2 linked regions of the Lepisosteus oculatus genome follow. The protein of the gene in region 1 interacts with the protein of each later gene in a pairwise test. Links are inferred from orthologs where the notes say so. Each region holds a gene or a part of one and is shown on either strand. Other genes may lie near its edges.

The links. The genes of interacting proteins can lie anywhere in the genome.
Region 2: the proteins of xpo7 (region 1) and uso1 interact in binary tests that used the Homo sapiens proteins (3 or more experiments, as listed by UniProt). The two-hybrid records come from large-scale screens. The link is inferred for Lepisosteus oculatus from reciprocal best matches to the Homo sapiens genes XPO7 and USO1.

What each region holds. Positions count from the first base shown.
Region 1 is NC_090697.1:74,312,982-74,321,075, reverse strand, and holds the start of xpo7 (exportin-7), read right to left. Parts: upstream 3,339-8,094; 5' UTR 3,249-3,338; coding exon 3,231-3,248; intron 1-3,230.
Region 2 is NC_090696.1:72,270,714-72,279,269, forward strand, and holds the start of uso1 (general vesicular transport factor p115), read left to right. Parts: upstream 1-5,221; 5' UTR 5,222-5,409; coding exon 5,410-5,475; intron 5,476-7,956; coding exon 7,957-8,043; intron 8,044-8,556. UniProt on the Homo sapiens protein: General vesicular transport factor required for intercisternal transport in the Golgi stack; it is required for transcytotic fusion and/or subsequent binding of the vesicles to the target membrane.

The DNA.
Region 1 (8,094 bases):
TGCTTTTATCCTCGCTTTCGATAATCTCATTAAAGGGCTTCAGATCCTGCGGTCGGCAGGAGAGCTGTCCAAATCTGACCACAAGGAACCTTTCTCAGCGACCCAGAGAGCGACGTTCGGGTGGGAATAAAAGATACAAAAGCGGAGAAAAGGTGAAGACGGAATCCCGCCCTGTTTCTGTGTTTCCGTCCAGGATATAAAACCAGTCTGTTCCCCCAACAGCCAGCGTGGTCTCTATCCCAGCACCGTGAAGGCAACGAGACCTGACAGCTCTGTGGCAGGAGGAGCCAAACTGAACACTGACGGGTGAAAGGAAAACCCTGAGAAAATATTTTATTCATAGCGGAACATCAAAAGGCTGTTCGAACCGCAAAGCAGATTAACTTAATTACTGCATACAGATTAACACCCTGATACAGAACCACGATAATCCCTCACCTCGGCTTTGTTGTTGAAAGTCAATGGCTTGCCCGGTATGGCTGCTGATGAAACGCAGGCCTACAAAAAGCGAGTGCCGGTGAGTTAATGAAGGATCCCGGCTCACTTTCTCAACAGCTCTTGCTCCAGCACGTCATGGTCGAATTACAACACTGCTGAGGCCTGTGAGCTTTTCCTCTTTTCACTTGGGCTGTCGCTGCTGGGAGCCAGCACTCCCTCCGAACGAGACGCCCTCTCTCGCCCACTGCAGCCGGGAGCTGCCTGCTGCGACCCCCTGCAGTGAGGTGGACCAGGAGGGCCCGTGTGACTCGTAACAATGCCATTTGAATTAGGAAGGCTTCCACAGGAAAGAGCAATTCATCTATCTGGACATTATTGTGTCAAGACTGTTCACACACAATGTCAGTTTCCTCAGTCACTTTAACAAGGCTGTCTACTAAGCGCATATGTGCTAAGAGTATACGGTCCCCCCCCTTGTTGGACGAGAGGAAAATGTAGCTAAGGTTAACCCCAGGGCTCTGTTTAACTTCCACTCCAGACTTGAACAATTTGACCTCAATACGGTTACCCCTGATATAAAGAAGTGAGGCACTTTCTCAGTCCTCTTCCTGATCTGCAGTGCAGGTGGGTCACCCAGGTGGGGCTGCTGGTGCAGAATGACCACTGTGTGTCTCCCAGGTGAGGCTGCTGGTGCAGAATGTCCACTGTGTGTCTCCCAGGTGGGGCTGCTGGTGCAGAATGGCCACTTGTGTGTCTCCCAGGTGGGGCTGCTGGTGCAGAATGGCCACTGTGTCTCTCCCAGGTGGGGCTGCTGGTGCAGAATGGCCACTTGTGTGTCTCCCAGGTGGGGCTGCTGGTGCAGAATGACCACTGTGTCTCTCCCAGGTGGGGCTGCTGGTGCAGAATGACTGCTGTGTGTCAACCAAGTGGGCAAGCAAGCAACTATTACTATACTAGAGCTGTCATTATGTATAACTGGTGATCCAAACATGAACAGCTTCATAGAAAAAGTCTAAGCTACATTTCTCCTAGTGCTAGGTTAAATACAATGCCGGGCAAAACATTTAAAGGTCCTCATCATACGAATGACCTTTTTCTGCGTTCAGACACCTGAAACTGAAACAGGCAATTGTTGTTCTGCGCACTTTACCCATTTCTACAAACTCACTGCGATTTCCTGTCAGTCTGTGAAAGCAATTCCACAATCAGGTCCTTTAAGGGCAACCCTTCCGTTGTTAACCAACAAAGCTACCGCACGATAAACGCACCCCTAACCCTCCGCACACATACACATTTCCCAACACACCCCACAGTCGGTAAACAAGACTCGCTGAATCTGACGTGACCCCTTTACAGTGACCTTAACAAACAATCACTCGGAGGCGGCATAAACGTGCATGCATTTAACGACTACCGCCACTTTGAGATGACCGCCTGGCGTAATGAACAGCACGCATTTCGACATTTCTGTCAATCGGTCAGGATACAAGTCCACCCCGCGGCAGCAGTTATCGCGCTAACGTCACATGGCGACAGCCGTTGAAAACACAGCCGGAACCGGCCTCGCTGTAGAGTCAGCTGACGTTAACGTCGATTACCGCCATGATCCTACTTTTTGCGTCCCAACAATTTAAAAAAAAAAACAACAACAACATTTCTTGCAGCTTTCCTTCTTTTTTTCCGAACCGGCGTCCGTGCTCGACGAGGCTGATGACAGAGACGGAAGGCGTACCCTTCGCGCAGAGACATCAATTTGAAACTCACAACGCGTGCAATTTCCCCAGCGGTTCAAAAGAGGGGTTAACCACCTGTTCAAGTCTGAAATCGAGGGATTACAGTGCCTAGTCATTACTAATTCAATCTCTCCGTCTACTGTGATTAAATTATACCACACAGGCACGCTGCTCTCTAACGAGGAAGAAAAAACGAGGTACTTCGCTTGCTGTTATTTATTCATCGCTGTTTGAGCAAAGATGCACAGCTCTCTACCGCCTTTCGCGAATACGAATAGGGATCGCACTGGAATTTCTACCAGAAACAGCTGCAGCTGGAGAAATGGTGTTATAATCGCCCCGCTGTGTGCACTACAGCGCGAAGGAAACGTTAACGTGTTCACCGGTCGTCAACAAAAACGAAACTACTGCCCTAAGTGAGAGTCAGAGAAAGTGGGCTGATGTCAGAGGACACGTTCCTTTAAGGCAAACCAGCAACTCGTGTATCTCTCCCCCTTTTTTAAATATACCGCAAAAACAAAAATAAAACAGCGAGCCAAAATGCGTCTTTGTTTTTTTTTTTCCATCCGTTTTTGGTTTGCAAAAGTTTCTCCTTTGGAAAACGACAATAAATTTCTCCCCCCCCCAAAACGAGCAGCAGGCCAGACCTAAAGCAATGCAATGCTGTCGTGTTTACTTGCAAGGACTGACTCCAACACCAGCCGGCTCCGGGCTCCACATTCACGCCCCCGCGGCGAAACCGACGCACGGTATTGAACCCCCGTGGGACGCACGGCTCGCCTCTTCCTCCCCCCTCGCCGTAATATTATCTCGTCCGTTCCGTTCTCCACACTTCTGAATCATGTCAAAGCAATGGACATGATGACAGGCCACAAGTCAACACTCTTCCACAATCGCATCCAAAACACGCCTCGCCGCCTGCACCGCGCCTGGGTTTCCCTCCTCGCCTGCCGCCGTTTCCACACCGCGTCCTCGCCCCGTCCCTCGGATCCCTAGATGAAGACGCACGCACCGCTAAGGATAGCGTTTTCACATTTCCAAAACATAAACCCTGGTTACCTGCACATGATCCGCCATTTTGCTCCATTCATGCTCAGCTCAGCTCGCTCACTCCCCCCCACGACACAGCGCATGCGCCGAGTTATCCCGGCGCTGTCGGGCCCTTGCGCTTCCTGCGCAGCGCCGTTCGCGCGGGCTGCAAGGGCGCTGCGCGCTACGCAAGGTTGCAGAATCCGACCGCGGAGGAACATTCCGCAAACTCTTTGTTTACATGACTCTTAAAGAGATACGGTTCCATTCTGGAATCGGTGGGGAGACGGGGGGAGACCCCCTTTTCGTTTCTAACATCATCACTAGAACTTGCTCAGCGATTCTGCAGTGGGGCAAAAAAACCTCTCTACTTTGCAAGCTTGTAAAGCAAAATCACATTTTTCTTCGGTAGATTAGTGGATTATTGAGTGGTAACCATTATTTTTCAGATGTTCTACAAAACCACACTAAGAAAACATCGGATATATTTATTCGATTATCTGTTCTTGGCTCATGTGCTCCTCAGGTATCACCACGAGAGTGTCAAAGAACAGTAGCACTAGCAGCACTGCTTGTTGAATTCGGCAGCTGCTGTTGTATCCCCCCGCAGCTCACAACTGGCAGCCCAGTGAAGTTTAGCAGGTGTGAGGCTGGCCAGTACCTGGATGGGAGACCTCATGAGAAAGCTAAGGTTGCTGCTGGAAGAGGTGTTAGTGGGGCCAGCAGAGGGTTCTCACCCAGCAGTCTGTGTGGGTTCTTATACCCCAGTACAGTGATGGGGACACTATATTGTAAAAAAGGCGCTGTCCTTCAGATGAGACGTAAAACCGAGGCCCTGACTCTCCGTGGTCATTAAAAATCCTGGGGTATTTCTCAAAAAGAAAAAACAGAGTGTTAGCCCGTGTCCTGGACAAATTTTCACCAGTCATGGCCTCCTAATAACAGTGACAGGCACGCTATACCTGTAAGAAGGCACCGTCCTTCGGAAGTCCTGGCTCTCTGTGGTCATTAAAAATCCCTGGGCGTTGCTCGAAAATTTAGCATCCTGTCCAAATTTCCCATTGGCCCTTACCAATCATGGCTTCCTAATAATCCCCCTCTCTGAACTGGCTTCATCACTCTGCTCTCCTCCCCACTGAGAGCTGGTGTTTTGGTGAGTGTACTGGTGCGCTCTGACTGCTGTCACATTGACTGCTGACTGCTGATTGGGGCTACTAAAAATTGTAAGGAATTATTATTATTAACTATGAACCGAAGTAGGAACTATTTAAGCAGCGATCAATCAGAATATTATCACGCTGTGAGTGCAAAGGAGGTCTCTGCTCTGTGTGTATTCATCATGACGCTCCAGCTGTTGTTTTCTGTGTCAGTGGAGCCATCTGCTTCAGTCAGCACAACCAGATTCCCATCGTCTGAAAGCAAGCGCAGAGGGGTGGCTGCACGCTGTCGTACCCCAGCCCAGAGCCCCTCTCCGGCATCGATCTGCAGGGGCGAATGAAGTGCCCTGAAGCTTCGTTCTAGAACAGCACTTGTTCTAGCTGGATATTCCAGAACAGCACACCTCTGGATGTTCTAGAACCGCTGTTGTCTGGACACCTGAAGCTGACAGAGCTGATCCATGTGACGTCCTGAAAGTTTCATCTGCAAGGCTGAGGAGACTTTTATTATTATTATTTTTATTATTATTATTATTATTATTATTATTATTATTATTATTATTATTATTATGATTATTATCCCAGCAAGCAATGGGCTCAAGGCAGGGTACGACCTGCATGGGACACCAGTGCTTCACAGGGCCGATTCACACACAGACACCCCAGGGCCAATTTTCCCAGAAGGCAATTGGCCTACCAGTACATCGTTGGAAACTGCAGCACCCCGAGGAAACCCATGTGGGGAGAACATGCAAACTCCACACAGACAGCACCTCAGGAGTCGAACCCGGGGCCCCAGCAGTGTGAGGGAGCAATGCTGACCAATGCACCACGTGCCACCCATGTAGTAGTTATTTTTGTTGTTGCGTTGATGATCAAGAAACAAGCTTATTTGTGACCACATTCATCCTTACAAAAGTTTGCAGTTTTGAAACTGAAAAAATGCAAGTTCAACTTTTCATTGAAAAATCCGCTTTTATCCACATATCTGAGGCCCATCTTGCGCTCTGATGAGTAATGGCAAAGGTTTCGAACCAGAGCCTTCGGCCCTTCCAGTCACACGCTAATTGATCTGTGGTTCCGCTCTCGCGGTTTCTGGAGGGCAGCCAGTGGATCGGCTGAGTAAGACGGCCATGGGTCTTGGTGCAGACCACCGCCACTCTTTGTGTAAACGCGCGCCTCCTCTTCCTAATTTTCAATACACGTCTACGCGGTTTCACCGGTCGTGTTTTTAGGGAGAAGCCCTCTGAAGTCCCCTGGGTTGACCTAGTCATTAGCTTTGTTGATTTTTGACTGCTTGAATCAGGTCTCCAGAAGTCTTCTCCCTTTCAGCCTGAGCAGGACGTTCCTTAAAGGCCAGACTGTGTCCAGGTGCCCTTCTGCTGGGTGACCAACATTGTACAAAACATTTTAAATGAAATATTACTAGTGCATTGTACATTTTAACACAACACCCACCGATTTCAGTTCAATGCTATTAACTATGTGTCCTAACGGGTTTTTTTTGGTGTGCCTTCTTTACTCCTCCACATTGTCTAGAAGATTAAAATGACGTTTCGACATAACCATCTACAGGTAACGTCTTTTTTTCTAAGTGCCTCAGTGTTTGCTGTCGCGGATCCACGGTTTATGGTTTTTGTTATCTGCTTTTTGTTATCTTCCCAAGTCCACGTCACATTTCATCTGGCCACATACCGTCCACGCACACCGTGAGCTCGTCAGCTGATACACCAGTTAACTAGAAATTACTCAGTTCAACCCCCAGTTAATTACAAATTACTCGGTTCAGGCCCCGGTCGCCCGTTCCATTTACGTGGCCACAATCGCGTAATCAACAAGGCTAGAAAAATAGTCCGGGTATTTTTTTTACACTAGAATTCAGATGGACATATTTGTGCCTAGAGCTTGCTTTTTCTCATTCTTTGCTGGTTCTATGTCTATAAAACGCAGGTTTCTGGGGTAGGCGACGAAATTGTGTCCTCCGTAACCTTTCCCTATCCTATTAGGTCTGTTTTCCTTCGCGTAAAGCCCCTGTTTACAATCCCGTATGCGAGATAAAGGATTAAGCGGTTTTTAAGTAATTGATCTCGCCCGAGGTCGCTGCCGAGTTCTTGGCAAACCGGGCGCCCGGTTTAACGCGCCGGAGAGAAAGACGTGGAAACGCGTAGGCTGTTGCTGCCACCTCGTGGTGAATCTGTGAAGTGCCGCGAAAGCGGGATTGACGAGAACCAGATGGCAGAAAGCGGAGCAAAGGGCGTCTAGCTCCCGTCTGGAAGGTCCCGGGTTCAATCCCAGGTAGGGGACAGCGATGGAGCTTGCTCTAATTCCTTCCAGACGGCTCCCAGGTCCACTCATTCTGTTTTCAGAGTGAGTACCGTGGGGTAATAGGCCGACCGGAGCGTGATACTGACCACATCACCTCCACCTCCAGTGTCGGATAATAATAATAAACTTTATTTTATATAGCGCCTTTAAAGGTGGCTTCTCAAAGCGCTTTACAGGATGACAATAACAATAAATAAGAAGACTACAACAATAATTAAGAAGATTTCACAAGATAGGACACAATTATAATTACAACAATACAACAATAACAATAGAGGAGACCGTGGAAGGTGGTATTAAGAAGAGCAGAGGGGTGAAGAATGGAAGCAGTTAAGTAAAGGCTTTTCTGAAGAAGAAGGTTTTGAGTCTAGATTTGAAGGAGTTTAGAGAAGGTGACTCTCTAATATCTTTGGGCAAAGAAAAATGGTGTCCCTTGCCCCCCATTCCCCCATGGGCCTTGATGGCCTGAGAAGGGACCTCCCTACATAGCGGAAAGCGGTCCGAATCGGGGAAAACGCAGTTTTCAATTTACTAGGCTGCCCGCTTAGATGTGATTTAGTGGCATAACATTACCGTTAACTCTGTCCTCGCCCCGGTGATACCGCTGCCACCCGCGCATATAATGATACTGTGAGCTAATTGTCCCGTGTTAGTGTTGTTTTCTTCAGTCACGCAGTTTAAAATATTTTGAGTTATACAGAATTCTCTGTTTCGGTTTATCGGTAGGTTCACGTGAATATACATTCCTTTGTTTTCGGGTGGTTTACACGTGATAGTGTGAATAGTAAAGAGGGAGATCAGAAAGGGAGAGACAGGACGCGGCAGGTGGAAATGAGATTGTTAAAAAAAAACCTAAGAAGAGTATCAGTTTCCACGCAGTTCCCGTCCTTACAGGCAAAGGGTTGAACCACAATCGCACGAACCCTACAGTTACAATACAGTTCATATCCATAAGAACAGAGGAGGTCGCTCGGCCCGTCTGGCCTGGTTTGGTAGTTAGCAAGTTCGTTGATCAAAAGGGTCTCATCCAGCTGTTTCTTGAAGGGCACCGTGATATCGGCTTCAACAGCGTGGCTGGGTAGTTTGTCCCAGCTCCCTCTAAATGAATGACCGTCTTCTGTTCTCGGTTTTTAAACGCACTTTCAAGTATTTTCCACTTGTGCGCCCTGGCCGGTGTTGCGCTCAAATCCCTTCAAAACTTCAAATCTTTCTGAAGACGTCCGCTGGGTTAGCTTTGACAGGGGCTTGGAGGATTTTGAACAGTTTGTAGCAGGTCACCTAGTGATTTTCTCTGACCAAGGGTTCAAAGATTCAGTCCATCACGCGACGGAAGCGCAGTTGCTGAAGAATTTAAATCCTGATCTCAGTCCGGAGCGCAGTTAGACCGGTCTGCAGCCAGACGGGCGCGGACG
Region 2 (8,556 bases), on another chromosome or scaffold:
TTCTTAAATGTTCCACAATGTTTCACGTCTCCCCTGCCCCACGCTCGTCAGATCCCCCGCACACCCGGGTGGGAGGCTCGCTGGGAAACGGCGGAAGGCCCTCCAGCGCAACGGGGACGAAATCGCATTTGCACGGTTCGGCCCGGCACCACGGCACGAAATCGTGTCACCCCGTTGCACGACAGTCCGTACGCGGATGCGGAGGAGGAGGGGGAGCAGTCAGCTCGGGTCTTTTCTAAGTTCTCAGGAGTACAGCGCGGCCTTCATTAAGAGCCGCCGTCCTGCAGCGACGCAATGTGCATGTAGTAGTAGTAGGTCGGTCGCGTCAAAAAAAAAAAAAAAACAGTCTGAAATCAAGCGTTTCTCCCGCAGCAAGACTGTCGGACACGACACTGGCCGCCAGCACCCGTCAACTCCTGTGCGAAAAGCCGAGGCCGCTGCCGCACACGAGAGGTGTAACCGCGGCTGTCTGGGCTGCTTCAGTCGCGCTTCCGAGAAAGAGCGATAGTGAAACCGGCCGGGGGCTCATGGCGGTGCGCGTTATGGCGTCGTTTCTTTTGTGTTAAAATCAACAGCCCCGCCAAGTGCACAAAATAACACGTTAATCCGCGCCCAGATGGGTGTACATCAACGGTTTTTTTTTTCCTTCGGTCTTTTAGCGAGGTGTGTAAACAAAGATAATGCACGAAAAGCCAGCAGGTAGCGTGCTCGACATCACGTTAAAAAACACCGCTACTGTACACAGTTACACAGGCCTTTTCTGATCTCGCCGCTCAAACGCAACGCGAGCTCTTCAAAACGACACACAATTGGAAAAAAAATACCAAGAATGTCCCTTTTCACTAGAACTGGTCTGAAAAATAGAAGAAAAATCCAAACGTGCTAAATATCCCTTTTCATGTTAGAAAATGCACACGCCATACCCCATCTTTACGTAACCAAAAACAAATACAAAATAAGGTGAAGTGATTAATATCAAACCACCAAAACACGGGAGAATAACAAAAATTACCCAAATTAAGGCAAAACAAATCGAACTTACCTTTTAAACACCTACCTAAATCAACACAGTGATTAAAGAGAATGGCGATTAATACTGAAGATAAAGCTAGTCAGTTAAACACGGAAACAGGTATTTCTCTGGGGAAAACGGATTAATTTCTGATTTTTTTTCCCCCCACCTTGCCCTAGGACTCTATGATCTCTGTTTAATCAGAGATTGGGATTTAAAGCGATAGATTCTATCTTATTGTCTCACCCCTGCTCTCCGGGGCAGGGAACCCCCGTCACACTCAACAAACCAATAAAAACCTCACATTGGACAATACTTATTGTGACGCAAAAAGCGAGTGCTTTCCCGCCCGCCTCCCGCGCCGCCGGTCCAGCGCTTCGAGATTATGACGTCACAAAGACCCTCCGATACTACGCGATTATTTATTAATATTTACCTCTGACGTCCTTATCCAGAAGTCCCTCGGTTTAAAACAATAAATAAATTAAACAGTGCAAAAAATTCATAATGTAGCGCTGTGTGAAAACAATAGATTTAGAATAAGACATTAACTAAACCAAAAGCAAGGCACACAAATAACAAGCAGAAGTAATAATAAGCTTTATTATCTGCCAGACACATTCTTGTACACATTTATTATCTACGAATTCTTCTACTTGTGTATCATCATGTAGTATTGCTATTGCTGCAGCCTGTGCCTTTTTTTCCCTGTCTTGGTCACTACTTCCTATTAAATCATTTGCTTGCAATTCTAAAATGGTACAATCAGATTTTAAAAAACGACCTGAATGCAAATTAGAGCGAAAACGGTAACACATAGATTGTACAACTTGATTCCGAGGTTCCAATGTTCAGTTTAAGCCACTTGCTGAACTTCATGCCTTGTGTCAGCCAGTGTCTCTCCTGTCAGCTCTTGAGTAGCTTTTCTCTCTAATGTTCCTCTGTTTACATTTTCTTGAGCCTCCTCCTGTGCCCTCCCCAGTTCTGTGTCTCCTGAATTTCCTCTTCAGACTCCTCCCTCTCCTCTCAGGACGTTTCTGACAGAGAAACATCCAAAGGACCTGCAGTTTCAGTACAGTCTCTGGATAATTAACTCATGACAGTGTCTAGTCCAAAACACAGCTCTATTGAACCACGACTGAAGCCTGTTTTTGAATCTTCTAATGTGGTAACCCTGCATTATGCCACAGTCTCCATCAGGGGTAGGCATCCCTATCGCTCTAGTGTTGTTTGCTGTGTTTATTCCATCTCAGACTTTCATGACTTGAATTAACCAATTAGGTCAGTAAGAAATCAAATCAGCTGTGTTTACAAGGGTTCAATGTTGCCCTTTTCTGAACTTTAGAGTTCCGTGTCTCTGTGTTTAAACCTTGATTCCATGAGAAAGTCAGCAATTAGTGAACTTCAGGGGGACTATAGACAAACAGGGGAGTGAAAGATGTCCCACAGGAGGGTTGCAATTATACAGACAAAAAAGGCACAGATAGTTATTTTTTCTGGGCTGGACATATATAATCCATATGAACTCAGTGAGACCCACCTGTGTTGTTTGATGTTAGTAGTTTCTGAAGAGCATGAAGCACATCAGGAAAGAGCAGTATCTAATGGGCAGTAGTTATCAGCAAAAACACAAAATATGACACTTTAAAATAAAAGATTTTAATCTGGCCGTTCAATGGCAGTTAATTAAATTAATGTTTTAATTTTACTCACATGCTTTTTTAAGAGACAGACTTTAAAAATAAAGCCAATTACAGAACACAATAACAAGTAATGTGATATTTGTAAGTATTCTAGGAAAGGCTCAAATAATAACATACAGAATCACAGAACTGCACACTTAAATTAAACTTTGACCTGTATACATTAACTGTGTAAAAAGCACAATTCTTCCACCATAGTATAGACTAACAATATTGAATAAGTTAAGGAAACAGTATGACATCGTATAAGTTGTGCCTGCAATGCTTGACTGATCAAAGGCAAACATGATCAATCAAAAGATTGTTCATGTTTCAAAGATGGCTAAATTCTAAATAACTAGCATCTCTAAGAAATAAGTAATAGGTTTATTCCATGCTGAAAAAAAGAAGAAAGAGAACACAACGTTTTGGCCGTGGAGCCTTCTTCAGGTGTCTCTAAGAAATGGCTGGACTGTGGATCTGTAACAAGGGGGAAGGGGTAGATGTACCCCTGCAGAAAAGACCAGTCAAGACATGAGCTGCATATAAAACAGCAAGAAACAGCTGAAGTTTTGAACTTTAGGGCTCTCAAGGGGAAAGGCATTTAACTCAGTGTGTTGGTGTGCATACAGTAGCTAACTCATTAAATAGTCTTGACAAGAAACCAGTACTTTTAATGGTTATAAAACAGTTTATAAAAAAATACAAGTGGTTAAAGAAAAAAGTTTAAAGAGAAAAATTTGTATACACAATGAGCTCACAGTAGAACAAACTGGGCATAGTCATTTCTCAGAAAAATGTCTGAAGGAAGATTTTCAGAAAAAGTACAGTAAATGTCAAATATGAAATATGAACATATCTCATCTGTTCTCCTAGGTGAGGTCGTTTGAATTGCAGTGGTCACCTGTTTTGTGACATGCCCAAGTAAATTTTTGCTTTGATGTGAATTTGTGTATCTAAAGGAAATAATCTGAAATACAACCAAATAATCACTGAGGACATATTATTAAAACTAGCTGTTGCTTGCATGAAAAAAAAAAACATTTTAGAGTTGTTTGAAAACTTTGCATTCTTCCCACTTTCAAATGCTTAAAAAATACAAATAGCTGAATTATAAATAAAGAATAAAAGATGTTACTGTCATCAGAAATAAAAATTACGATTGATAATTTTATTTTATTTTTTAAACTTAATTACTGTGCATTGGAAATTGTATATTGTATATTTGTTAGAAGCTGCATGCAATGAAGTTGCATTGTGATTCCAACCAGCAATGGTAAAATCATTATTTTTAATCTTGAACAAAGAAGATTATGAGAGAACCAAACTCAAGACGTCAAAATCTTAAAAAGCCTAGATAAAAGCAGTACTACTGAATGAAAGTCTTCAGAATCAACACTGAAATATGAACCAGAAGGCACAAATAGAAACTACATGCACAGGAAGTGCATTTTAAAACAGAGAACAGGTGGCACTTCCTGCTGTGGGGTGTGGGAGTGTGCAAGAAGCTGCCTAGCCATATCAGCTAGCTACTGAAAAACTGAATTAGACAGAGGGACAGAATGGTCTCTTCTTGTTTGTAACCATTCTAGTATTCTTATATCTGCTAAAGTACAATGATCTGTTTGCATGCTTGTCTTCCTGGTGTCCAAGCCAATGGTGGGGACACAAGCGAACAGTTGTTCACATAGGGGCACCGTGTGATCAATAGCACACATGAAGGTTGGTGACCTTCAACCATCCTTGTAAAAAACAATGTCATTACAAAATGATGAATTGACATATCAGACGAAACATTAACACTCAAACTCACTTCATGCATCACATGTTTAACTTGCATGTTGGGCTATCTCTTCAAGGTGTTTCAGTGTAAGTTAAGATTTTCATTACCAAGTCTTTTGTTGATGTTGGGTATTTTCCAAGCACCACCTTTAAGACCAACTAACAGATTGCTTCAAAGTGTTGGACTGTTAAGTGTTGCTTATTGCCTTTGTTTTGAATTCTAAACTACCACAATGCAAGCGAATTTGCAAAGCCCTGTCATAATAGCGAAATGACCACCTGTTAGATGAAACACCCCCTTTTTTTTAAATGAAGCAAATGCCTGCAAAAAAAATAAGTATAGAAGAACAATTACAAATGTTATTTAATAACCGTCCAATGTCACAAAGGTGTTCTTTGGTCCAGAAACCTTGGGATTCTCAGTTTGTCTAAGGAGGACCCCAGAAAAGGCTTTCTTTTTTTTGCAACCAGTCCTGCAATCCTGGTTTTGTTCTGGTGCCACTTGAAAGCTTATCAGGGCCACCTACAGTCATGCTTTCGGTTGTATAAGCAAGTGTAACCCTTGTTTGTAATAGTTACGAACCGAAATGAAATCCCGTGTTTAAAAATCGCCTTCCGTCTTGCGCAAGACCAGCCGGGGAAACCGGAAAACCATGGGGCGCCATGACCCCCCGAAAGGTGAAGGAGGTCCTGTCACTTTAAAAATCACCTCTGGCCCTGTGAGCAGCCACGTTTCGCCACGTCTCCGCGCCTGCGCAGCGCGGTGTTCCAGTGCTGTTCCGGGGTAGCTGTGTGTGTCAGTGTCCCACAACAAGATCGGTCTGGGGGGGAAAGGGATCGAGGATCGGAGTAACGCTTGGGATCGCAGTACAACCAGCCGCGGCCCCGGTCATTTTCATAACACTAAAGCGCTTCGGCTTGGTGGGGGGAGACATGAATTTCCTGCGGGGAGTGATGGGAGGGCAGCCGGCCGGGCCGCAGCCTTCGGGTGCAGAGACGGTGAGTCTTGTCACGTCGCGGAAAGGCAGGAGCTGGGGTGGTGGTGGGGGTGCTCGGGTCTGGCGCCCCAGTCGAGTCGAGACTGACCCAGCTCCTGTCGGGATTGGCACCGTGGTCTTTTAGAGAGTATACCAGCGTGTCCGTCGGCTCGGTGGGTAGGAGGAGGAGGAGGAGGAGTTGGGGGGTGGGGGGGCGTCGTGCTCGCCGTAATTTCTCCAGCCTGACACAGGAGGGAAAAGGGCAGGAAAAAGTGTTACGATGAGGACTAAGATGCATCCGGGCTGGACGGAGCTAGCTGTGGGAGTGTGGGGGTGGTTTGGTTTGCACCGGGACGGCTCTAGTCAGCCCCAAGGACGGATCGGGATCAAGCCTGGAGCAGCGAACCTGAAAAAAAAACCAACCCATTCGCTCTGTCGTGTCTTATAAATGAGGGGTGTTATGATATTATGATTTATTGCCGCTATAAAGCCGATGCTTATTCGCTTTCTCCTTCATCTCAAATAAGCCTGCTGGTGCTATTATTATTGGGACCCCCCCCACAAACGTCTTAACACTAACAGCACCTGTCACCGCAGGTCAGTCCCGGTCGCTGCGATGGCGTTGACAAAGTGACAGTTAGTGGGATCGTTTCCCAGTCCATATTATCCTCATTTTCTTTATAACCCCCTGTCTCCGCTTGGAGGTACGGCTCAGGCTTTTGTTGGGAGGCGTGAGGATCTGTCGATGGTAGATTGGGTCGCTGTCAGCTGCTCTCAAGATAACGCGTGTAACTGTGATGAAGGAATCGTTTCCTGACGGACTCCTGCTTGTCATGGGTCCGAGCTGTGGCTGGAAAACAAATGCATATCTGTATTGACAAAGGAAACCTTGCATGTTTCTACCTGGGTGCAAAATGCAGTACTATAATAGCCGAAGCGGCCGGAGCGTACCCATGCTTGCGTCTGGGTCATGATAACTGCCATTATCAGATCCGGCGGAAAATTGGGAGGATAAACAACTCTGATTTTGAGCAGCCAGCTGTCTCTGCTATGATGTAGGCTATTTTCAGAATCATCCCGATGCATGACGATTCTGCTTTTCCTTTTCATGTCATGTCCCCTGTTCCTCTGCCGGATTCTGCCTTTTAGCTTTAAAACGGCAATTTAAAAAGGCGTGTTGGTTATCAACACGTTAAGCAACACTTTAAATATCTTTCCTAATCAGTATGATCGAACTTCAGCCTTGTTTTTTTTTTCACATGTCTGTGAACAACGGTTATTACATTGTTTTTGTACTATGGATTGTGTCTTTTGATCCTAGATTTATTTTAACCTTTACACCAGTGAAATGTACATTTGTTTCAGTTTTATTTAATGGAAAATATCTTGATGGTCTGGGTCTCCGTAGCACACTGGTCTTCAGTCCTGGTTACGAAGACCAACAAAACCAAGAGTCGTCAATGATTAAAAACTTGGAAATGGTTATCAATACTAAATAAGTAAATACTTTGGTCGTTGAACTCATAACATGCACAAGTAGAAAACTGGAGTCTTGGGTCCTCGTCTCTTCAGGAATTTGGATTAGAGCTACAAATTCTTAGTACACAAGTTATGCGTTTTACACACAACCAGTTTAACAGTTCAGCTTTGTCTACTAAAACTGGTGTGCCCTGTTTTTATGCTATCAGCTGTTGACAGAGGCATTGACAGTTTTTTTAAACCTTTGTCATTCTTCAGCTGTTAGGGTCTCTTAAAAAGTAGTGAAGACCGACTGTCTTGTTTACATAATATCCCAAAGCAAAAACTGTCTAGATCACACAATACACAGTGTGCTAAGGACATATGTGGCTTTCAGATGTAGTCTTCCTTCAAAGCACAAAACTCTTTGAAACAGTCTTAAGATCCCCTGGAAGTGCATTGTGCATTGCATTGCCCTAGAAAGTATCTTAAGATACGTCTGAAATCTTTGTTTGGGTACAGGACTTCTCGTAGTCTGTTATACAGTACTTTTTGAATGTTCTGATGTAATTATTAGAATACTGTCATTAATCTTGACGGATATATTTAAGCTTTAAGTCCCAGTATTTGCTGTAGACATTTATCTTGTTCTATGGTATGCTCTTATCATATGCTACAACATTCTTCTAGTCCACATGCATTCATAACAGACATTTTTTAATTTTTTCCAAAGTTGGGTGCTGAACGTACTCTGTTTACTGTGAAGGAGACATACTCTAGTGATCTCATTTCAGTTCGATTCAGGTCCCTTGTATGGTCCAGCTTTGTTGTTTATACGTATGAAACGGTTTCGCATCAGGGTTCTCCTTATTACTGACTCTTTTAGTACTTGTTTAAAAATAGTGAAAGGTAATATACAGTACATGGCCTCTATTGTGTGTTGTTCTTTGTGCAGGGCATGTTCATGTTTCATATGAATGAGGAATGCTGTGCATTGATTTGAAAAATACTGATTTCTGTCTTTTTTTTCCCCTTCAAATGCCAGATTCAAAAACTGTGTGACAGAGTAGCTTCATCCACTTTGCTGGAGGACCGCAGGGATGCAGTCCGGGCTCTGAAGTCTCTTTCAAAGGTACGCAGACAGGACCAGATAATAATAATAATAATAATAATAATAATAATATAAAGTCTGAACTCACGGACGGATGTAGACGTAGTTTAAGAAACCTCCAAAAAAATAAACATTTCTTCAACTTGACATATTTTTGTAGTTGATGGTGACTGTTTTTCATTCTCTACTTATATAAACATTTGTGTTGACCAGAATTTTTCATCAGTTTACATGTCTCTTCACCTTGTTTGCTGATTGTCAAGAGAAGTCTTTGAACTATTAATTGTTAACAAAGGGTTTTCTATATCTCTATGAAGTCGCGTCATTCCCTTCCGTTTTGATTAAATCAGCAGCCTGTTGGTCTTGATTTTATTTTCTGATTTTGAGCTCCATTGATCTTGTTTTCTCAGTGGGAGACATGTTTAGGTTGTGATTTGGGATGGATTTCTGCATGACCAATCATTCAAGAGACAGAGGGGTTCATAGGGGACCCATTTAGGAAACCCAACTTTACAATAGGACATCCATATCCCT